Linked DNA regions of Rhinolophus ferrumequinum. The protein of the gene in region 2 purifies or fractionates together with the protein of the main gene of each other region. This does not show direct contact. Links are inferred from orthologs where the notes say so. Each region holds a gene or a part of one and is shown on either strand. Other genes may lie near its edges.

Region 1 (7,769 bases), on a different chromosome or scaffold from region 2:
ATGGAGGACATCAAAGCCAATAATGAATGTAATTTGGAGCCCTGACTTGAGATCTTGTCTTATTGCTGCCACTCCAGCTGTATGTCATGCTGAGACAGCCAAACTCTTATTTTCCCACAGGAGTGCTTAAGTATTTAAGTGTCTGAGTTCTGGTCCTCCCCACCACCAGCCCACATGACCAGGCGTGTTCCACGAGTACACGCTGTGTGAAATGTGCTAACATAGGGGAAGAGTAAAACAGCTTGCAATATGTCCGTGCAGTGGAACACTAGGCAGCAGTGAAAACAAAGGAGGTGGATTTACATGTTCTGACATTAAAGGATGGTCATTATATATGGTTGCATGAAAAAAAACTGCAGAAGAATATGTTAAGTGTGATCCCATTTTGTTTGCTATTTACATATGAACATATGTCAATACATATCCATGTATAAACTTACCAGTCAAGTACGCAGTCAAGTACTCAGTAACCAGTCAAGTACTCAGGCAGTGAGACAGGTAAGCTAGCATGTCCCTAGGTAGACAGGGAGTTCCCTGGTGGAATAAACAAAGACAGCCATATCCTGAAACTCCAGGTTTTGAAACCGCTCCTTCACTCCAGGACAAAATGTAACAAGGCCTTGAAGTTAATCATAAAATTCCTTTTGGCCTGACAAACAGAGGAGATCTGAGAGATAAGAGAGGGTTATTTTGCTAATTCCTTCAGGCTGGGCAAGCAGAGCAAACCTGGTAGACGAATTTCATTAGAAAGCACCAGTCCCCCTTCCCCAAGCAGACAAGGGAAGGTATAAAAGTAAGAGCACTTGCCTCAGTCACGGGGCACCCCTATTCGGGTCCCCCTCCCGCTCCGGAGCTCTGACTCTTTGTTTTCAATAAACCATCCTCTTTTTAAAACTCTTTGCCTCTCCTGGGTCTGTGTTTCCATTCTCATGAGACACGATCCCGGCCTACACCCAGAAACTGCCAGCAGATCCAACATCATCTACATCATTTGGGGATTCACAAAGACATAGTCCTCCTTCTTTTGGGGACTCACAGGAAAATATTCCTACATCATTCCCTCTATCCAGGGAATGGATAGAGGTGAGTTTCACCTTTCCCTTTGTGCTCTTTTGAGTGCCTTGAATTTTCATCAATGAGTACAACTTATTAAGCAGTTTACAATGATAACAACAATAATATTTTTTAAACCTGGCATTCACAACTATCTAGTCTACAGAGATACGTATTTTACATCGCCAATGCTAGTGCCCTTTGTCCAGGTCCCACGATCACTAAGGGTCCCACAGTCCCACTAAGGCGCTGAGGTTTCTTAAAAGGTGGGAAACATACACCTCAAAGCAGATCTGTCATTTCCAAGTTTCTTTGGAGTTGTGAAAGGTACTGACACATTTTAAAAATAATACAGGAAGTGACAAGCGCTCTTTATTTTAAAAGCCCTCTGGTTCCCAGACACAGGCAAAGCTGTGAGGCCACCTCTACTTGTTGTAAATTAAATGTGAAGTAAGAGTTTAACTGAGTGTGTTTCCTAAAGCAATGGCTTCTTAGAAATGTATTATTAAGAGGCGCCATAGGTGAAATAGTGATGGAGTCACCAGGTTCCTAACATACCTGTTTCAATGCCTCTTCCAGCCAGGCCTACCCCCTGCTGGACACTCCTTCTTTAAGAGTCAACTCCATCAACCCGTGCTGTGGGACCAGAGCCAAATAACTTACCAGTAAAGGAAGCCAGATTGCAGAGGTTATAATTTTTCAGATCAGCTATAAGCATCATGTGCAATTTTTATAGTGTCCCTGAATGGGAAATGTTAGGAAAAAATAGGGGCAACCTGAAAATCCAGGTACCCTGCAGCTAAAGTGAAGACCAAATAACTACAAAACCCTTGTGCACACCAGAATAAATCAAAGGGTATTTGTGTTGCTTACAAAGGCCTCACAAGAATATGCCCTTTGAATCCCCATGTCCCGTGATTCCTCTGCTACATACAAGGTGATCTGCAAACCTGCAGCATGGGTTCCACCTACCACAGAAGAACTTCTTAGAAATGCATTGTCTCAGGCCCCACCAGACCTACTGCACCCTTTGCACAGAGCACTGCTGCTCCTGAGAGCTCTGGGAGTGCAGGCTTCCTTTCAGCCTGCCTGGGAGCTCCCTGGCTCCTAACAGATTTATTTATGCCGAAGGACATACTAGATTAGAAACTCTACCTGGAACCCCAATTTCATAGAGAATGGAGGAGGTCAAAAAAAAGAAAGAGAAAAGAAGGCACTGCGCCAGCACTTTTTGTGTGAGGCTAGGATGGGTATGGCCAGCGGGCAGGTACCCACCTCACCAGACAGCTTCACCAGGAGACTGAGAGAGATGCCAAGGCATGCTGCTAAGCCCCGGGGAGCGAGCTGCAGGATGGAGGCAGGGTGGACAGGAAGACAGGCCCCCCAGGCGGTGGGCACCTCCAAGTTTAAGAGAGAGGCTTGAGTGCAGTTGGGCAAACCTGTGAGAGAGAGAGAGAGAGAGAGAGAGAGAGAGAGAGGAGAAAGGGAGGAAGGGAGAGACTCTCAGCTGTCACAGACAGGCTGACAGCAGGAGTGCCAGAGGACCAGGCACCAGGCTGCCAGTCACATCCCCAGCGGGACAGACAGACAGGATGAGACTTGGCTGTCTGAGGCCTGACTCACAGGTTCGCGATGCCAGCCTTGCGCACGGCCGTGGAGATGGCTTTGACCGCGGTACAGAGCGAGTTGAGCAGCTGGGTCATCTCGCCGGTGCCGCGGGCCTTCCTGCCCTCCTCCATGACGAAGCGGGTCAGGGTAACGATATTTGTATCGAAGGCCGCGTGGTCCGTCATGCTGGGGCCGGGCTGCTGCGCGCTGGGCGGCAGGTGCAGGCAGGGACGAGGCAGGACACCGCGCACTCGGTGGGAGCACAGATCACTGCGGCGGAATCGCACTGCTCGGAGAGTGACTGGCCCAAGACAAGTCCCCGCCGGTGTGTCCTGGGGGGAGCCTATAGGCGCCGGGTCAAGGTCCCCGCCTCGGGAACACCTCCGCGCCGGCCCCGCCCCCTCCAACTTGGCGCCTGGCCCGCTCCATCCACAGGACGTCCGGAACTTTTTCTCATCTTCCTTCCTCCTCCAGCCTCGCTGTCCCCACCTCTGGCCCTCGCCACCACCTCCACTTCCTTCGCTGTTGCCCAACCAGCCTCCGCGCCCGCTGAAGACGACCACTGGCATTGTGGACGTTGCTGTGGGCCACTTGCGTTACCACTTTCAGTCCCTGCAACGACCTGTCACGGAGAGAGTTCACCATTCCCCCCCCAACATAAAACGGAAGTCTTGAAGGTTACAGAACTTCAGCGTAGCACAGCTGGTCACTGACAGTTAAGTGGACCGTTAAAAGGTCTGCTCTCTCTGCAGTGGTATCAATGTCTCCTTGGGCTATGAAGAGACAGTAGCCGTTTTTCCTGGTAGTACCACCACCTGCCTTCATCCAGAGGTCCCCATCTGACAACCCTGGGAACCAGCATCAACACACCAGCCAGGTCCCCGTGACTGAATCCAGTCCTCAGTTTTCAGGTCTCATATCGCTGGCCCCATCTACAGCAAAGAAGTCAGGTGTTTTATCTATTTTGTTCAGGCTCTATCCCCAGTGCATAGGACAGTGCCTGGCACATAGTAGGTGCTCAATAAATGTGTTCCATGAATCAGTGCCTGAACTGCCTTAGGACAACAGCATTGTGGCCACAAAATGATGGTCAGGAAACGGGATACTGAGCTTCTGGCCTCAGTGTAGAATCTTGGAGATATTTCCCTGTGTCTGCTGACACTGTTTTCTCTGTAAAATGCACATATTGGAAACTAAGGTCTCCCAGGAGCTCTCGAATTATAGGAATCTTGAGAAGAGGCCTGAACTAAGGATCCAGACATGGACCATCAGACAGGTGAGGGACAGGGAAATTCTCTTCTTCGGTTTGCCAGAAAAGCCAGTTGACAGGCCAAGCAGGGATGGATAGAACAGAGGGCAGGGGGCTGGGACAGGGGCAGGAGGCCACAGTTGGAAGGAAGCCTTGGAAGAGAAATATTTCCTTAACTATAAAATCTGAAATGTAATGACTTGTATTTTTGGCCTAGCAACTAGTTACAGCAGCTCTTTTCAAGAGTTTGCCCCTTTATGTGTCAGACATTTAGTCCCTCGGGATCTCAGATCAGCCAGCACTGTAACAGTTGACTAGTCCACCTCTGCCCTCCTGAAGTTTAATCCCTTGGAAATCATCCCTGGTAAGACGTGAAGAGCTCAAGATTGGGATTGAGCAGGCGTGCTAGATTCCCTGCTTCAGCCCTCAGAAGCCTAGAGACCTCAGTCGTTCCACAATCTCCCGAATCCCAGTTTATTCATCCATAAGTGGGATTATTGTTCTAGCTGGCAGAGGTGGCATGAGCATGACATGAGATGACTTTGGCAAAGTGCTCAGCTCTGAGCCTGACACAGAGGACACACCAGATACAAGGAACAGACCTCTGTCTAGTTTAGTAATTGATGCCTGTCACCTCCGTCTGGCTTAATTACTGATGCCTGTCACCCACCGGGATGGGGAGCCCAGTACCCACAAGGCAAACCGTCCCTTTAGGAATAGGTCACTTCACAGTGCTGGTCAAGTGCAGAGACCCTGCAACTAGAAATCCTGGTTTAGAGTCCTGGCCTTGTCCCTCACTGGGGTGTGAGTCTGTGCAAGTTACTGACCCTGCTGGGCAACATTTTACTCATCTGTGAATCGGGGCTAAAAATTGTGGCCACCTCATGGGATTACACAAGCGATGCACATGAATTGTTTAAGAACCGAGGCCAGTACATTCTACGTAAGTGTTTCCTCCATTATATGGGTAGTGTCGACTGTTATTTTTATCTGAACAGAAGAAAGCTCTCTTACCATCAGAAAGGGGCTGAAGGGGCATGGGCATGGATAGCCTCTACCTGTATTTACCTGTGGTGCAATTATGTCTCCTCCATCATGTACAGTGATTGTGACTAGCTCTTCTCAGGGTCAAAATGCATAAACCCATCACCTGGGATTAGCCAGACAGGGAGGAAGATGCTGGACCAGAGGAAGGCGGGCACCTCCACACATGGGATTTCTCCCTCCCACCTCCACCCATCCCCACTGCACAGTTGCTCCTTGCTGGCTACAATATTTCCCCTCCTCTCTCATCACAAAACACACTCCAATTCACACAATAGTGCAGATTTTGAGTACTGTGTGCAATATTACCCATTTTGTAACAGCTCTGTCCTGCGAAGAAATAATGACCACCTTTTCCTCACTGGGCTCTGACCCCAGGAGATCAGCTCTGGTTTGTGTCAGAGACAGGAAGTTGAGAAGTAAGTCTGAATGATCACTCACCTCCCCACTCCCACCCCTGAACCCAGGTCACTTCTGCTTACTCCCCCCCCCCGCCCCCCAAGAGGGCAGTTAGTAGTTAGTGAGTGTGACAGGGAAAGAGGTACCAAGTGGCTGTTCAAAGAGGGACGGTAGCGGCACTTTCTTAGGTGAGTCCCCAGCTCCTGTGGCCTCAGTGGCCCCTTGCCAGTAATGGAGATAGGACCTGTCATCTCTTAAGCAGCAGAAACTAAACAGCCAAGCTGTAGAGCTAACACCTATTTAGCACTTGTTCAATGTCCAGCACTTGCTTTAAAACATTTTCGCTGCGACGTTCGTCTATAGTCAAATGATATTTCCATGCCGCTAACTATGGCATTCGACTTTCCCACACGAGCTCAGGGTTCCAGAAAGGAAGTTTAGGAAAGCAGATGTACATTTTTCTATATTTTTGTGTTTTTCAAGAATGAATAACAATAAGAAATTTTTGCATTTTAAAATAATCATTTATTTTAATAAAATGTAGCACCTTAACTGTATTACTTAAAAATATAAATATTGTAGTTATTTTCTGTGGATTTTTGACACATTTTGGAGAACAAACTTGTAATGAATTAACACAGTGAAAAGGTTAACCAACCCAGCACCCAATGACGTGGTGTACTCATGCTCCTGTCTTTACCAATGAAGGAACTAAGGCTTTGGAAGGTCAAAGAACTTGTCCCAGGCCTGTGGCCAGCCAGGAAGTGGCAGAGCCAAGACTCAGATCCTAGTCTGATTCCAATCCCCACATTGCCACCAGCCTGCTGGTTCCCTGCTGGGTGGCAGTGGCCTCCATGGTGAGGCTCTGAGCCTGCTGACAGCAGCTTCAAAAAAAAAAAATATGCTCTCTGAATTGTCACCCATTAACTCTAGGGCTACTTCTTAAGCCTGTGTTCATTCATTCTTTCACTCAACAAATAGTTATTGAGCACCTGCTCTGTGCCAAAATCATATCACGTGCTGAGGTTATGACAGAGGGATGTAAGTCCTGGCTTCTTTGCCCCAACTCAGGACAACCCTGAAGGGTAATCTCAGCTTCAGAGGTTCTGGCAGGGCTGGCTGAGCCTGTATACAAGACAGACACATCTCTGTCCACGTGAGGCTTACATTCTTTGTGAGAGAGATAATTAGGAAACAGAATCACATAATAAAACAAAGATACAAAACCATTTCAGGGAACAAAGATTGCTACGAAGAACATAAAACAGGGCATTGAGGTAGAAACTAATCAGGAGAAGATTTCTTAGGAAATGACCTCTGATATAAGACAAAAGGAATGGGACAAGTGAAGAGCTCATAGAAGAACATATAGAAGACAAAGCAAAGAGAGCAGCAAGTGCAAAGGCCCTGAGGTAGCAATGAGCTGATATATTCAAGGAATAGCAAGAAGATGGCCAGTGTGGCTAGAAGGATGGATGAGGAAAGAGCCATAAGAGATGAAGTTGGGAAGGAAGGCAAGGCCCAGATTAGGAAAGACCTTGCACATCATAGCAAGACACTCAGTTTCTCTTCACAGTGTAGTGAAAAGCCACTAGGCGATGTTAGGCTGGAGAGTAATATGACCTGATCTAAACGTGTGAGAATGGACTGTAGGGGATCAAAGCAGAAGAGGGGAGACCCAGTAGAACGAGTTTAATCCAGCTTTTACTTGATTGTCTATTCAGTATGTGAAGGCTGCTGTCATATTTCTCATAAATGTTTACTTCTCCACTAAATACTTTCACTTCCTTTAACTGTTCCTCATGTGGCAAGGTTTTAAAAGTTTTTCCCCTCTTGCTTTGGACCTGTTGACTTCTTGCCACTCCCTGTTCTATTTCTATGACTCCTGCTCTCCTCCATCTGCTCCACCCCATGTTGCAATGGTCCATTCTCCTACCTAAAAAATTAATTTTTTTTCTTACTCCTGCTGATAATACTGGGAACAGGCTGATTATTGCAGCAGCAGGATGGGGCAGAGGGGGATGTTGAGTCATGGTTCGGTGGTAACAAAGGGCTCAGCCAGCCCTGCTGGGATCTCTGAAGCTGGGACAACCCTTCAGAATTGTCCTGAGTTGGAGCCAGGGGGACAGAGCTTATATCCACATGCCAACCAGTCACTAGCTACAGGCTGCCCTGAGAAGGGGCATGCCATGGACTAGGTGGCTCTCTTCTGCAAAGCAATAGTCCCAGGAGCTGGAGAACAGGTTCTTCGCCTGTGGTGAGGAACTAGGTGGCATGTCACAGCATCCACTATAATAAGCCAAGAAGACTAGAACTGGGGTGAGAGGCAGGGTTCTGTCTGTGCATCTGTTGGCTTTCCTTTCCTCTGTGTGTCATCACGCTCAGGCATCTCTCCCCTTTAAGTAGCATGCACGGC
Region 2 (7,404 bases):
CATACGTACAGGTTTTATATACTCATGTATATACATGTATTTCGCATAGAAAGTTTTTTGAAGGATAACATGCAAAAACACATACTCAAAAAAATACAAAATATTTTTAAATCTGTGAAAAATATATCTCCCTCCCACACTGCAGCCTGGCCTCGGTCACTGCCACAGTTGCAAACTCCATCTTGTGGCCTTGCTCCTCTGTAGTGTGGCTCTCTGTTCAAGGAGAGGGCCAGGCCTCTGACTGATGCAGCCTGGGCAAGCAGCTTCCAGTGAGATTCCTAAGGTGAGGACTTCCCCAAACATGAGAAGGGGGTCTAACACTGGGCAGCCCAGCCGAGTGATAGGAGATGGTCGGGACCTAGCTGAACAGCTGGGTCAAGGGCAGGAGCCAAAAGCCCAGCGGGGCAGGAAGCAGGATTGGGCTAGCCAGCTGGCCATCATCGCTGGCTGCCCCAGCATACAGATTCCAACCATCCCTCCTGATCCCAAAGACCCAATGTGTGTCCAGCTGGCTGAGCCCACGCTCTGAAAGGGACAGAGAAAGGAAGACTGGCCCCCTTTCTGTGTCCATGGTGAGAAGCGTTTTGGGTCATTTATTCTATGAATTTACTTTTTTTCAAGTTGTTGGTCCTTTGCATGTTGTTCTGTGGCATGTTCTGTATTGTGACTATTAACCTTTATTTCATATGATGAGATGCTACTGCCATTTTATGGCATGTGCAATGGAACAATGCTTCTCTAGGTGGGGGGACAAGCAGTTACAAATCTCTCAGAAAGGTACTTCACATTAAATTCACTCAGCCCACTTGATTCTGACAGAATTCTCCATCTCCTCTCCAGGAAAAAATGCATTGATATAGAAGGAAAAGGTATGGACTTCAGAGTGTACCATTTGAATAGCCTGTGGGTATTCCCAGCATTTCTGGCCCCCCAACCCCCATTTTCTGGGCTTCTGTGAGAATGGGCACACAGAGCAAGGATAGGGGAGACCAGGAGAGATTTTAAAAGAAAAGGGCCTTAGGTTGGTGGGAGCTGGGTTGGAGGCCAGAGTTGAGGGTGGAGAGGAGAGGCTACTCTTTCCCAGGCAGGAAAGGAAGGAAGGGAGCAGCCTGGCAACTGCAGGAAACATGGTTTCAAGTAACATGGGAATGGAAGCTAGAAGACAATGGAGCCAGGCCTTTGAGATTCTGTGGGAAAAGGATTTCCATTCTAGAATCCCATACCCAGCCAAAGCTGTCAATCAAGGATGAAGCCTGAACAAAGACTTTTGCAGGCACGTCCACATCCATTCTCCAGAAGTTCCCAGAAAAAGGGCTTTTCAAAAATTAAGAAGTAAATCAGTGAAGGGAAAGAAGACCCAGGAACCAAGCAATAGAATTCAACACAAAAGAGAGTTGATAAAGAATCTAAATCTCCAGAAATACAAGCACAACATCCACACAGAGGTTCAAAGCTCCTGAGCACATGCTTTAGAGATGTGGAGATAACAGCTGATAGAAACAGTTAAGAGCTGAGACTGGTTGTCTGTGGGAGCAACAATCTGGAGTAGGTGGGACACGGGACTGTCAGTTTATATTACTGTAAGCCATTAAATTGTTTACTTTTTAAATACTCTAAATATTTTGAAATAAATACAAATCCAATTTTTAAAAGTACATTAAAAGCATAAAAAAAAAATAAAGAAAAAAATAAATAAATAAAAGCATAAAGAAAAAGAAGTGCTGCCGTGGGTTACGGCTCAGGTCCTGTTTCAGTGTCTTTCAGAGATGCAAGCAAAGCTTTGATGGCTTGTCAATTACTCTCATTGGCTGGAGTGCTTTTGCTTGTTTGTTTTTGTTTCTGTATAACTTTTTGTCTTAATTAAGCAAAACTGCAGTCAGACAGGGTCATATATGAGGTTTAGGATTATTTTCAGGTTGCACTTTCTGGGTTTAAATTCTTCCTCCTCTGCAGGACTAGTTATGTGACCTCCGGCAAGATATGAGACCTGTCGGAATTCCATTTCCTACCCTTCACAACACAGTCCTTGCAAGGGCAGAGTGAGATGCAAGCATGAACATGCTCCAGCAGAACTCAGAAATGCCAGTTACGCTAACCCCTCGAGACCCAATTCATTTAAAAAAGAATTAATGGGAACAACTTTAAAGCTATGATAATGGACATGAACTATCAAAATGCCACCATTCTGATGAATTGCAATCTTTCCTGTGGGAGCAGATCTTCCTGAACAGGATGTGAGGTGGGAAGCAGAGGGTTGGCTGGGACTTCCCCGAGAAGCCCCTAATCTGAAAGGCACCCCTCCCCCTCCAGAATCAGGCTGGTTTGTGGTCGCAGCAAGCCCAGGCAGCCTGGCTTCCAAGCTGAGGAGTAGGGTGGCGCCCTTGCCTGAGCCTCTGAACTGTTACTGGGTCTTGGTACAAAAGGGATGGTCATGATCAAGTACTCCTTGTGGAAACCAACGTATGGAAGTCATTATCCGCCTTCCTGCCAAAGCAGGCACACCCAGGCCATCTCCCTCTGCTACTCCTTCTGCCCGAAGATCTTTCCCACCCTCAATTCTGCATGCCTAAGTCCTAGCAGTCTGCGAAAGCCCAGCTCACATGCCACTTCCTCCACGAGGGCCTCCAAAATTCCTCTCCTCCTTTCCCACAAATCCCCCAGGAATAGACTGCACCTCTTTTAATACTTAATAGATCTTAGTTTTCTTTCCTCCTTCCAGGGAGGATGTCAGGAGGCTCTGCATAGCATCTTTCTAAATTAGACATTCTTAACCTGGAGTTCTGGAGGTGGGGGTAGGGGTTGGATTCTGGCTTCATTTTCATGGTTCTCTAGCTGAAATTTAGCATTTCTTTCTATTATGAATGGAGAGGACACATCACAGTGGTGTTAGCAATACCGGTGACTTGTCATCAATAGAAATTACAGATATTTTCATAGCATGTGGCAGTGGTGACAGAGAACTTGAAATAACATGTATGTTCATCACTGTTTAAAAAATACAGTTACTGTTAGGCCCCCATCAGATCTTGTTATTTATTGTGTTAAAGAAACACATATATCACTTTATCACAAAGTTGTTTCCTTAATATTTTGTACCTGTGTTTCAATGTAATTGGTTTCCATGGAATTTTATACATTTAATTTTATGCATTGAAAAGCATTACTTTGAAAAGGGTTCTTTCTGTAGGCTGCACCAGGCTTCAAGAAGCGTCCCGGTGAGAAAGGTAAAGCCCCAACTCTAGATGGATCACCCTTTTATTCTTTCCACTTTGGGGTCTCATCAGCGGGAGGTCCGTGGTCCTCAGGATAGGAAGATTTGCCTCCATTATTCTATATTCTTAAAATAAAGTTTTAATTTTAGAATAGTTATATATTTATAGAAAAGTTGCAAAGATAATCAGAGTTTCCATATACCTCACTCCCAGTTTCCCCTTTTGTTAACACTGTACATGAATGTGGTATACTTGCTTGTCACAATTAAAGAGCCAATATTGATACATTCTCAGTAAGTATATTCCGTAATTTATTCAAATTTCCTTACTTTTTTCCTTAATGTCCTTTGTCAGGAGCCCATCCAGGATACACATCACATTTAGTCGTCATGTCTCCTTAGTCTTCTCTTGGCTGTGAGTTTCTCAGGTTTTCCTTGCTTTTGATGACCTTGACAGTGTCCAGAGGTACTGGTCAGGTGTTTTATAGACTGTTCCTCCACTGGGATCGGTCTGATGTTTTAGTCATAATTGGAATGGGTTTATGGGTTTTTGAGGAGGAAGACCACATCATCTCAAGGGAGCTTACTACCAATAGGACATACCATTGTTGATGTTGACCTCGGTCACCTGGCTGAGGTAGTATTTGTCAGATTTCTCCCCTGTAAAGTTACTCTGTTGCTCCCTTTGGAAGAAAGTTACTATGCACAGCCCACACACTTAAAGAGTGGGAGGTTATCTGCCACCTCGGAGTATCTACAAAAATTATTTGCAATTTTTCTGAATGGGAAATGTGTCTATTCTCCTCCAGTATTTATTTATCCAGTCACTTATTTAGATCAGCATGGACTAACGGATTAAAATGCAGCTTTTTAAGTGCATAGTAAGATGAGTCTTAACAAATGCCTCCACTGAGGCAACCTCCACCCCGGGCGCCAGGCACACCATAGGTGCCCATGAGGGTGCACGGCCTGGAACTGAACTCCTCGGACCAGAGACTTGGAGGGTGACATCAACTTCCCGTTTCAGGTTTAGAAAAGTCCAAGTTCCCCACTCGGGGTAAACAGAGTGCTAAGGGGCAAACACATGCCTACATCAGCAGTTATTTTTCTCTGCACTCAGCAGCTCAGGAGCTTTTCTAACGGCGCAGAGAAGTCTGCAGGACGAAGGTACTGGCTTGACACAGTGGCCTTGGGATCCCCAGGCCTGGCCATGGGTGGGGGAGGGTTGGAGGGGTAACAGAGGGATGAACTCCGTCCCACGGTCCTTCCAGTGTGTCCTCCTTCGCATTCTCTGCCTTCCTCCCTCTCTCACACCCCTTTCAGCAGAGCCCTCCCCTCACACCCGCTGACCCAGGAGGGACCATCGCCCAGGAGCCGCTCGGAATCCGGCGGGGCCCAGAGGAGGCCCGGAACGGACTGAGCTGGGGCCGGGTGTCGGGACCGCCGGGCAGGCCTGTGGCGCTGGGGGGGCGGTCCGAGCCGTGGACAGACGGAGGCCGGACCCTTGGCCTCGGTCCCAGGGGGCGGCGCCGTGGTGGGAACGCTCCGGGTCCCGCCCAGGCGGGAGCAGAACAGGCGGTGCCCGGGTGGCCGCGGAGCCATGGACGGCAGCGGACCCTTCAGCTGCCCCATCTGCCTGGAGTCGCTGCGGGAGCCGGTGACGCTGCCCTGCGGCCACAACTTCTGCCTCGCCTGCCTGGGCACGCTCTGGCCGCACCGCGGCGCGGGTGGCGCCGGCGGGCCCGGAGGCGCGGCCCGCTGCCCGCTGTGCCAGGAGCCCTTCCCCGACGGCCTGCAGCTCCGCAAGAACCACACGCTGTCCGAGCTGCTGCAGCTCCGCCAGGGCTCCGGGCCCGGGCCCGGGCCCGGCTCGGCCCGGGCCCCGTCCCCGGCTCCCGAGCCCGCAGCGCCCAGCGCTCCGCCCAGCGCCCCGGAGCCGTCGGCTCCCTGCGCACCCGAGCCGTGGCCGGCGGGTGAAGAGCCGGTGCGCTGCGACGCGTGCCCCGAGGGTGCCGCGCTGCCCGCTGCGCTCTCCTGCCTCTCCTGCCTCGCCTCCTTCTGCCCCGCGCACCTGGGCCCGCACGAGCGCAGTCCCGCGTTACGCGGCCATCGCCTGGTGCCGCCGCTGCGTCGGCTGGAGGAGAGCCTGTGCCCACGCCACCTGCGGCCGCTCGAGCGCTACTGCCGTGCGGAGCGCGTGTGCCTGTGCGAGGCCTGCGCTGCCCAGGAGCACCGGGGCCACGAGCTGGTATCGCTGGAGCAGGAGCGCACGCTCCAGGAGGTAGGGCTCAGGGAGTGCGGGCCGGCCGGGGCGGGTGACACGCCGCTCGAGCCCGCCCAGGGTCATGGACCTTCCCGGGTTGGGTCTTAACTTCCTCCTCTAACTTGAGGATCATTCCTGTCCCTTCCAGCCCTGACAATGTCATTCCGCTTAAGATGGGATAGGGGGTTAGGGGGACCCAGTGAGAACACAAAAAGGACCCGAAGGGCGGGCAAGGGACCTGAAGCCCCAGCGGGCGGTGCGGATCTAAGGCAGCAAGGAGCCAGGATCTTGGGCGTCTGGTACTTGCAGCGTGGCTGATGCGCCTGCCGGGCTCATGCGGGTCCCAGCTCAGATGTGCCCAGGCCTGAGGCAGGCGGTTTAGATGGGTGTGGCAGGCCACTTGAGCGCGGCTGAGCACACAGACCGCTCTGTCCAGCTGTTCCGGGGGGCCGTGGTTAGAGCATATGCGCGCAGTTGGGCGGGCTGCCTCCTCCCCCAGTTTCCTTTGGCCTCCCGCCCAGTCTTGGCGCCTCAGCCTTGGGATTTTCCGTCTCTCCTGCCTGGAGCGGTGACTCATAAGACCCAGGGGGTTTGCCCGGAATCCCCATTTTTCAAGCCTGGATTGGGGGCACAGAGTCTTTGGGGACAGAGATCCCCAGATCAGCTGATTGCCTCTTGTGCAGCCCCTCTCATTCTGTGCCTCTTCCCTTCTGATGGAAGTTCCCAGATGAATGTGAGCAACACTGAGGACCGTGGATGGCCCTGTACTGGTCCACTGGTCAGAGAAGGGAGGTGGACAACCCACAGCCAGCCTGCATTCTCTCTGGGCATTTGGGAATGGCACCAGCCTGGGCTTGAGGAACCGCTGGCATAATGGGGACATCATGGCCACTCCCAGTCCCACCTGTGCATAGATACCATTCCTGGCTCACTCTCTCCCACCCCTTGGTGAGGCCTGGGACCCCAGTGCAGGGCTGTAGCCTCTGCCAGACCCTGTCCTCATGAAGGGTGTCATCCACAGGCTGAGCAGCCCAAAGTTCTGAGTGCTGTGGAGGAACGCATGGACGAGCTGGGCGCCCGCATTGCACAGTCCCGGCGTACGGTGGCCCTCATCAAGGTCAGTACAGTGGCCCTCAGAAAGGTCAGTACAGTGGCCTCATCAAGGTCAGTACAGTGGCCCTCATCGGGGGCAGACCACACCCTAACCCTGCCCCCTCCTGCCATAGGCTCCTGGCAGTGTCGTGATCCAGTCCAGTCCAAGGAAGCCTGTGCTCAGGGCATTGCCCGGCCCACTGAGCCTGAGCCTCTCCCCTGACTTGACATAGACCCAGGGCAGCTCGAGCTGGACTCTCTGTCTCCCCAACAGGGCAGATTGGGAAAGTGGGGTCTGGGAAGGATGGGGCCCAAACAGTGATGTTCTTTGCCCTCACTGCTGTCCCCACTGTCGTCCTGTGCAGAGCGCAGCCGTGGCAGAACGGGAGAGGGTGAGCAGGCTGTTTGCGGAGGCTGCAGCCACCCTGCAAGGGTTCCAGGAGGAGGTGCTGGGCTTCATCGATGAGGGGGAGGCCACCATGCTGGGCCGCTCCCAGGGCGACCTGCGGAAGCAGGAGGAACAGCGCAGCAGGCTAAGCCAGGCCCGCCACAACCTCAGTCGGGTCCCTGAGGCCGACTCAGTCAGCTTCCTACAGGTGAGAGCAGCTCTTCGGAGCAGAGAGGGAGAGCATGTGGGGTGGGGTGGGGTGGGGGCTAGGCAGGAAGCAGAGGGAGGAGAAGACAGTGGAACCAGACAGTTCCTGGCAGAGCTGTCTCCCCCCAGCTGAGAGGAGGTATGGCCAGCAGGGCCTTACTGGGCATTTATCTGGCACAGGAGCTCCTGGCGCTCAGGCTGGCCCTGGAGGAGGGGTGCAGCCCTGGGCCCACTCCCCCGAGG
Region 3 (7,721 bases), on a different chromosome or scaffold from region 2:
ATAAACAGATACAATCCGTGTTAAAATACACACACACACACGTAAAAAAAAATTTGCTGACTGCAGCATTCAACCATGTTATTTCTCAAACATATACTACGGTAGCTAGCCAAACTTTACCAGTCTTAATATACCTAGCCCATAATGACTTCACTGATGTGAAAAATGTTTAATTATATTAAATAAAAAAATGTCTTAAGCAACTTCCATGGGCAGTTCATTATAGTTTTGATGCAGAATTGTTCTAACTTGCAAGTTAAAAGTAATCATCACTACATGATTGGATGTTTAATCAGATATATGGGAATTACACATCAGAACAGAACTGTGACATCAGGCAAGGAATGTTACTTTGTGCTTCAAATTATTTGCTAGCAAAGGAAACATTAAATCCATAAAGTTAACATCTATGATTAGAAAACAGACCGTAGGGTGGGTCACTATCTTCCTAGTCAGTATTCTAATGTGTATTATAGAAATACAATCTTTGGCAAAGGCCAGTTAGGTAAAAATATAAAACTATAAAAGTGAGGTTGTTCTAGTTAGAGTTGGGGAGCAAGCCCTGCTGGACTTCTGAGAGCTCTGGAACCGGTAAGACTCAGTAGTGTTTAAATAAATAAATCCGCTGACATTTCAGAGCTCTTTGCATCTAAAAAGTGGTTGTTTAAAATCCCAACTTGCAAGTTTGAAAGGATTAAGCCTTTTTTTCAAAACAATTTTTTAGATTTCTAATCTTTTAATGTCAAAATAATTTACTTTGGGAAAAGAATACCTATCACCCACAGATTTTTTTTTTACACCTCCCATACTCTTCCAATAATTTCTTAAAAGGCATTCGGCTCATTATTCCAATTAGCAGAAAACAGGATTGGGGGTGAGGGCGGTGCATACATTTCCTGGCTTGGACAGCAGGAGTTGTGACCTCTGTGGATTTGTTAAGTACCATGAGTTGCTTGAGGAAAAGGAAAAATACCTCAGGTAGTGAAATTTTCAAAACGTATCTAAAACTGCAGTTGGTAGAAGGCTCTCCACAGTCAGTTCTCTTTCAATAAATTATTTCAAATCTACAAACAGAACAAAACCATACTTCAACGAAACTAACATCAAGAACTTTTACCCACACATTTACACGGTTAAAAAGACCAGGCGAAGAAATCAGTGTGATTTTACTTCAATGGATTTGTTCGATGCCTTAATAATGAATGAATTGGAGGCATCACTGGCTTGAGTTCTCAAGGAGTCTCACTCTCAGTTCTGCCCCCTATAAAATCTGAAGCAAATTCTACACAATTTGCTATTTCGAGGCTAAGTCCGGTCCAAAGGAAGCCTCCCCCCTTCTTTCTCCCGGTCGCCCTCCCAGGGGTTGGAGAGCAGGGAGGCGCGGCCCGGAGGGTGGGGGCGCCGGGAGCCCACTCCCCTCCCGGGAAAAGTTCCACCGGCCGCTCTAGGGCCAGGCCGGCCTGCGGCCCTCGTCCGCGTCGCCGCCACCAACACCCAACCCGGCGCAGGCGGCCAGAGGGTCGCGCCCCCTCCCCGCGCCGCCGCACAAACACCCCGCCCCCGCCTCCCCGCCACCGCCCTCGCGGAGCGTTAACCCCTAGCCGTCCGTCGCCCGGCTCCGGGGAGGAGGCCGGGCCAGGGGGTGGAGTTGTCGCGTCTCCTCCCGGGAGCGCTCGGGCAGACGCCTGGCTTGTTTACAGGCCCCAGGCCCCAGGCCTGGCCGCCACTGCCGCCGCGCAGGCCCGCGCCGGCCGCCCGCCCTCGGCCCATGCGTCGCGCTTACCCGGAGCAGCCGCGGGCGGGCAGGTCCCTGGTCGGCCGAGGCGGCGGCGGCGACGGCGGCCGGGGAGGGGGCGGGAAAGGGGTCACCACGGCTGCGGCCGGCCAGGTCAGGCAGGGGAGGGGGCGGACGAGGGGAGGAGCCGGGCTGCGTCCGGGCCCCCGCTCTCGGCGCCCTCGCGGCTCAGATCATCCAGGCGTTGGAACAGGAGGCGGAGAGCGGGTCCCGGAGGAGAAGGAGGAAGAGCCAAAGATTCATTGCTTTCGCGCCCCACCTGCCTGGAGCCCCCCCACCCCCCCTCCCCAACCACCCGCTCCTGAGCTGCAGCCGCCCGAGCACCCGAAGCTGCGGGCCCCGCCGGCGCCGAGACCACTGCTCCCTCGCTCCCGCGCGCGCTCCCGCCCCTAGCAGCGCCGCCGCCGCCGCCGCCTCGAGCGCGTCCCCGCGCAGGCGCGCCCACGAAGGCGCCGTGCTGCCCCACCCCCACTCCTCCGCCCGCCCCACCCCGCCCCTCCGGGTTCGCCGCCGCTACAGCTGAGGCGCGACGGAGCAGCAGGAGAGACCCGGATGTCGTTGGGCAGGAACTGCGGCGAGTGGCGGCTGGCGGGGGAGGAGCGGCCGCAGATGACGCCACTGCCCTACCCAGCTTTTCTCGTCTCGGCAGCCTAGCGGCCGGGGCCCCAGGCCGAAGCCGAAGGGAGCATCCAAATCCCGGATCGGAACCGCGACTGGGACCTTGAGCCCCGGCGCCGGGAGCTGGACAGTGTGCGACTGTTAGGATCCCGGGGAATGGAGAGCTCTCCAACCCCTGCAGTCTACCGAGCCAGGGCTCGGAAGCACCCCCTAGGGCGTCCGCGTCTCTTGTCCCGGCGCTGCCACCTGTCTACAAATACACACCCAATCCCCGCGGAGACGCTTTCCACAGAGCCCCGAGGACCGACCCAGTTCTTTCCACTTCTCTCGGGCACAGTCGCGGACTGTTCGCCTCCTGGCTGCTGCAGCTCAAACGCGCGCTGGGTCCCAGGCCGCCGCCAGACCCCCTCCCCCAGGGCCCCTACGGTTCCAGAGCCATTCTCCCCCAGTGACCTCGGGAGGACCACTCAAGTGCCCCAGCCACACACCTCGCGTCCCGAAGGGCAGCAACACACGCAGCCTGCCGCCGCCCACCTACATACACGCACAGGGCACATGCTGAATTCCTGGCAGGTTTTCTGTGTAGCTGTAGCTCGTGGCATCCCACATTGTATTTATTTTCACTTGTTACAGTCACATGATTCTGTCACAGGGGACCTCCAACGACCTCCAGTGAGGTTAAAGGAACGGAGGATTTTTCAAAATCTGTGGGATAATCAGAAACATTAACAGCTACTTGTATGAAAAGTTAGAGATCAACTAAACCTAATTGAAACTGCACGTGCAGGAGGCCAAAATCCAGTTTAGCTAGCTAGACTACGGAAAACCCGACCCACGCGGTTTGCAGACGCCGGGGATAGAATGACAAACGCTAGCAGGCCAATGAATCAGAACTGGGGAGCAGTACATCACCAGCACGGGTTCCCATTGGCTGGGGTGCCTTTCCCTTGTCAAAGGCTTAACCTGTTCATGGATTTGACCTACACCACATTTGCAGGAACGTAACTTAAAAGAAAAATCCGTGTTAAAAAAAAATTTATCTGGTATACACTAAGGAAAAACACATACTTCATTGTAGGAGGCAGGTACTTTAAAAAGAACACAGGAAAATATTAGCCAAATTGTGTTCTGACAAATAAAAAGCTAAATTTATGATAAGGCCTCTCCATTTTATCTCAGGAACTTACTGTAGCAAATTATACCCTGCTACTTTGTATCTCCTAAAACCACTCTGTTGCCCCAGCTCTTAGATCAAAAGCATCCTATTTATTCTGTCTTTCTGCCACCAGCAAACATTTAGCTGCTTTTAAATTTGTAGAAGCCATCTCCAGTTTCTTCAACATGACATTCTTGGGAAGATTCTGTTCCTTTCATTTTTAGCCCTGGGACCTAACAAACTACCACCAAAAGGTCACTGGCAGGCCAAAATCTTCAAGGAACTCAAAACAATCACTCTACCCAATAATATATTTGGGTTAGAATTTCTTCCAGTAAGATGAAGATAGATCATTTTGAGATATACAAAGTAAAAACAAAATTCACTTCTGCATTTGGTCCCAGTATCATGTGAGGACACATTTCCTAATTACTTCTGTACACACGTGCCAAAAAAAAAAAAAAAAAGGAACATTATTAGATCAAAGATCTTTGAAACTCTGCCTTATTGGAATCCTTAATACTTCAGACAAGTAGCAGCATGATTAGCATGCTAGTGGACTCATTACCATTCCAAAATAGAAAAGCCCATGTGGCAAACACTATTTGGAGTGTCTTAGAAAACAAAATTTCTTATTCGTAAGGCAGAACTAGGGTTGCCAATGGCAGTAGTGGTGTTGATCTTGAAGGTCTTGCCTGGCTTTCTGCTTCCTTCTATTAGGCACCCATACCTTTCTTCTCTCTGCTCTATACTTGTAGAAGAATCTGGGTCAATTGTAGCAGAAGAGGTAGAAAAATAGAAAATATGAAAGTAAAGAGATTTTTAAGGAGTCTGCACAGTGTACCACAGACTACTGATAAAGTTACACCTTCCTCTCTTTCTTATTTCTGGATACAGCTTGCAGGGACATTTTGGTATAAAGTAGGAAACTCAGAGATTATAAGATTAACATTTTAAAATTGGGGACAAATATTTTTAATGGTGTCTGGATAAATAAGCCCGATATTATAATATCCCCTTCTTTATTGCTATACTAAATATTTTTTCTCTAAATATTATAATAAATACTCCCTAAATAATATACTAAGGGCAAAAAACTTAACTATGTAGAGAGGGGGAAAAGGACATCGAAAAAGAGAGCTAAAAGTTTTCTTTTCTTTTTGAACTACAAGGCTTTGCTTTGGCCTACACATGTTAGCAATGTTCTTAGTTTTTATGAAACATCAGTGGAATGTGCTGCCATAATTGTTTTTAATAATTTTTATAGGTATATTCTAAAACTATCTTACTCTGGTTTGGACACCTGTTGGTATTTCAATTACCAAAGAGAAAGATGATTTTCTGAAAGATTGGCTTTCAAGTCCTAAATTTAACTGTACGCTATTAGCCTAGTAATTGGGAGGAGTGGGATGAGGATTGGAACTGCAGTGAGAAGTCTAAAGCTTAGTCCATCAGTAATACTCACTCCTCTTTTCTTCCACAATCATGATTTAAAGAAAAGGTTAACATTCCTGATTCCCGAATTACTACTCTGAATCCACCCAAGAGAGTTACCCCTGAGACAGTCTTGCTTACACCTCTCAAAAGAAATCTCAGCAATTTAAGTGATCCCTCAGGAGAATACCTGAGACTCCCCCTAACCTGAGCCATTCAATCCTTTCACACTGAAGCCAGTCATTACCCAAGAGTTATAAAGCCAAGCAGAACATAGATTCGGCCCCGTCTTCCTCCTCCTCCATCATTACCTATTTCATGTTTTTTTCTCACCAACATCCTCTTCCTCCGTCCTCTTCTCCCTTTTCTTTTAATCACTCTTCGTTCTTTCCTCTGGTCTCTTTTCATCTTCTTTACCCTTTTCCCCATTCTTCTTTTCTCTCTTTTCCTTAGCTTAACCCAAATTACAGTTTCTGCTACCTACTTTCTCTTGAAGCAATACATATGAGTGGATAATGCCCTTAAACTAATTTTGTTGTGGGGGGGGTGTATCCCCCCCACCTCAGTCCTCATTCCCCCCCCCACACACACACCATATCAAGTCATGAAAAACTTAGCTGTCTAAAGGACTGTCACAGAATGAAAAGGATTAGAGAATCCTGTCCTATGTGACATCACTAAGGCAGCCCCATTAGGATGGGGCAGAAGAAAGTCAGCAGTCTTCTGCTGCCATTCGGGCTCACGCTGTTCCCTGAGAGAAATGTGGGTCACCACGAGCATCACAGGCCAAGCCTTGGAGAGTCTTTAGGGTAGACTCTTGCCTCAAGAGAACTGTATATGGCCACAGCCTTAATGTTGGTATGGTTCTTATCAAACAAGTTCATCTGTTCAACAGAGAGTTATATTGGGTGCCAGGTACTGTGCTGGGTGCTGAAGGTAGATAATGACACCAGTAGGGAAAGGCCCAGCATTATAATATCATGTATGTTATAATGAGGGCTACAGACAAAGAAATAAACAAATAAGGAAATTGCTGATTGTGATCAGTGTTGTAAACGAAATAAATAAGGAACTAGATCAGGGAGATGACCTGAAACAAATGTTCAGAGGAGACCTTTCTAAGAAGATAGCATTTGAGGTGAAGGATGAGAGTCAGCTTTGCGAAGAATCAGAGGAGAGCTTTCCAGGCAAAGCAATCAGCACAAGTTTGATGTGGGAAAGAGCCTGTCTATAGACCAAAGAATTGTCTATAGAATTGTCTATAGACCAAAGAGAAGTTCAACAAACTCGAGGCAAATATTTTATAAAGTCGCTCAAGTTTAGAATTCCAACTTAGGATATTTGGGATACTTAATCCAGTTTACAATTAGGAAACCACCTTGAGCAGAAGGGCACAACCCATTCAAAATAACATAGTGAATTGGTCTGGCCCAAAAAGCAAAGCAGCTTGAAAAATAAAAATTAAAAATGAAAGGACCATTATGTAACTACTGAAGTTAAGAAGCATTCCACCACTCCATTGTTCTCTTCAGACAATCCAACAGCAGCTAGAGTTGAGTAAACTATGAGCTTTGAAAAAAATGTGCCCCCCCCCCAATATAGATAGCTGTTCTTAATGAGTAAAGACTAGCAATAGTTTGGACTTCTTGAGAACATATTTTTTTCTGGGTGTTTACTGTCTAATGGGGGTATCAAAGAATATCTCAAACTAAACCACACTTTTGAAAGTTGCAACACATTTTGCATCCTTAACAATGGTGGTCTGGTTGAAAACCAATGATGAAATGACCATCATCATAAAGGCTTTTTTCTATATCTCGCTCTGCACTGCCACATAGGCCAACCGATTTAATACAACAACTCTTGTGGGTAGACAGGGCAAGGACTGTTGTTCTCAACTTTAACAGAAGAGAAAACTCAGTGTCAGAGGGCTAGCAACTATCCAGAATCACCAAAAGTAATGACACGTTCTCCCCTGTATTCTGCTGATCATTCCTAACTCTTACATGCCAGTAAAAAAGCAGCAAAGAGAGTCAAGGAGTGGAAAGTGCATGTTGTGGTGTATGAAGCTTGCTTGTACTAGCTCATGAGAACAGACTTAAATTTTTAGGAATTTGTCAGCTATTTGTTATACACAGCCATTATTAAAAAATTAAATCATGTAAACTTCCAATTAAATAGTTAATCACCAAAACAGATCCTTTGCCTACAGAAAAGCTGCCATGGTCAGATATGAACTGATCTTATCCTTTAAATATTTGAGGGATTTGTTCAGTACTTAAATTTACTTTTAATCTTTATCTTGATTGTTACTTTTAAGAAAGAACAGTAAAAGCAATAATTTATGGTAAAAGCAATAACTGAATAATGAAATCATTTTAAGCTTAGAGCAATTAAATACAGAGATATTAATATGCATTTTATTTTCTTGCAGGAACTAGACAAACTAGAGCTCCATCAGAGAAAAAAGGTAACAAAATCCCTTTGTCTTTTGCTGAGTACAATGAGAACCAATTTATGGGAATTATAGAGAAGATAATTTTATTTATTTATTTATTCATTCATTCATTCATTCATTTGAGAAAAAAGTTCTCCAGTGATTTTTTTTTTCAATTGCAGTTGACATTCAATATTATTTTAGATTAATTTCAGGTGTGCAACATAGTGATTACACATTTATGTAATTTAAGAGTGATCCCCCTGACTAGTCTAGTACTC

The links.
Region 1: the proteins of TRIM47 (region 2) and FBP1 purify together in Homo sapiens (affinity purification with western blotting; 3 studies listed by BioGRID). This does not show direct contact. The link is inferred for Rhinolophus ferrumequinum from reciprocal best matches to the Homo sapiens genes TRIM47 and FBP1.
Region 3: the proteins of TRIM47 (region 2) and PPM1A purify together in Homo sapiens (affinity purification with western blotting; 3 studies listed by BioGRID, with this or other methods). This does not show direct contact. The link is inferred for Rhinolophus ferrumequinum from reciprocal best matches to the Homo sapiens genes TRIM47 and PPM1A.

Annotation. Positions count from the first base shown.
Region 1 is NC_046295.1:7,046,349-7,054,117, forward strand, and holds the start of FBP1 (fructose-1,6-bisphosphatase 1), read right to left. Parts: upstream 3,020-7,769; 5' UTR 2,847-3,019; coding exon 2,677-2,846; intron 1-2,676. UniProt on the Homo sapiens protein: Catalyzes the hydrolysis of fructose 1,6-bisphosphate to fructose 6-phosphate in the presence of divalent cations, acting as a rate-limiting enzyme in gluconeogenesis. Plays a role in regulating glucose sensing and insulin secretion of pancreatic beta-cells.
Region 2 is NC_046304.1:50,720,880-50,728,283, reverse strand, and holds the start of TRIM47 (E3 ubiquitin-protein ligase TRIM47), read left to right. Parts: upstream 1-4,351; 5' UTR 4,352-4,378; intron 4,379-4,484; exon of another isoform or gene 4,485-4,534; 5' UTR 4,535-4,811; coding exon 4,812-5,492; intron 5,493-6,495; coding exon 6,496-6,591; intron 6,592-6,931; coding exon 6,932-7,162; intron 7,163-7,341; coding exon 7,342-7,404. UniProt on the Homo sapiens protein: E3 ubiquitin-protein ligase that mediates the ubiquitination and proteasomal degradation of CYLD.
Region 3 is NC_046289.1:34,559,856-34,567,576, forward strand, and holds the start of PPM1A (protein phosphatase 1A), read right to left. Parts: upstream 3,020-7,721; 5' UTR 2,902-3,019; intron 2,184-2,901; exon of another isoform or gene 1,784-2,183; intron 1,065-1,783; exon of another isoform or gene 974-1,064; intron 1-973. UniProt on the Homo sapiens protein: Enzyme with a broad specificity. Negatively regulates TGF-beta signaling through dephosphorylating SMAD2 and SMAD3, resulting in their dissociation from SMAD4, nuclear export of the SMADs and termination of the TGF-beta-mediated signaling.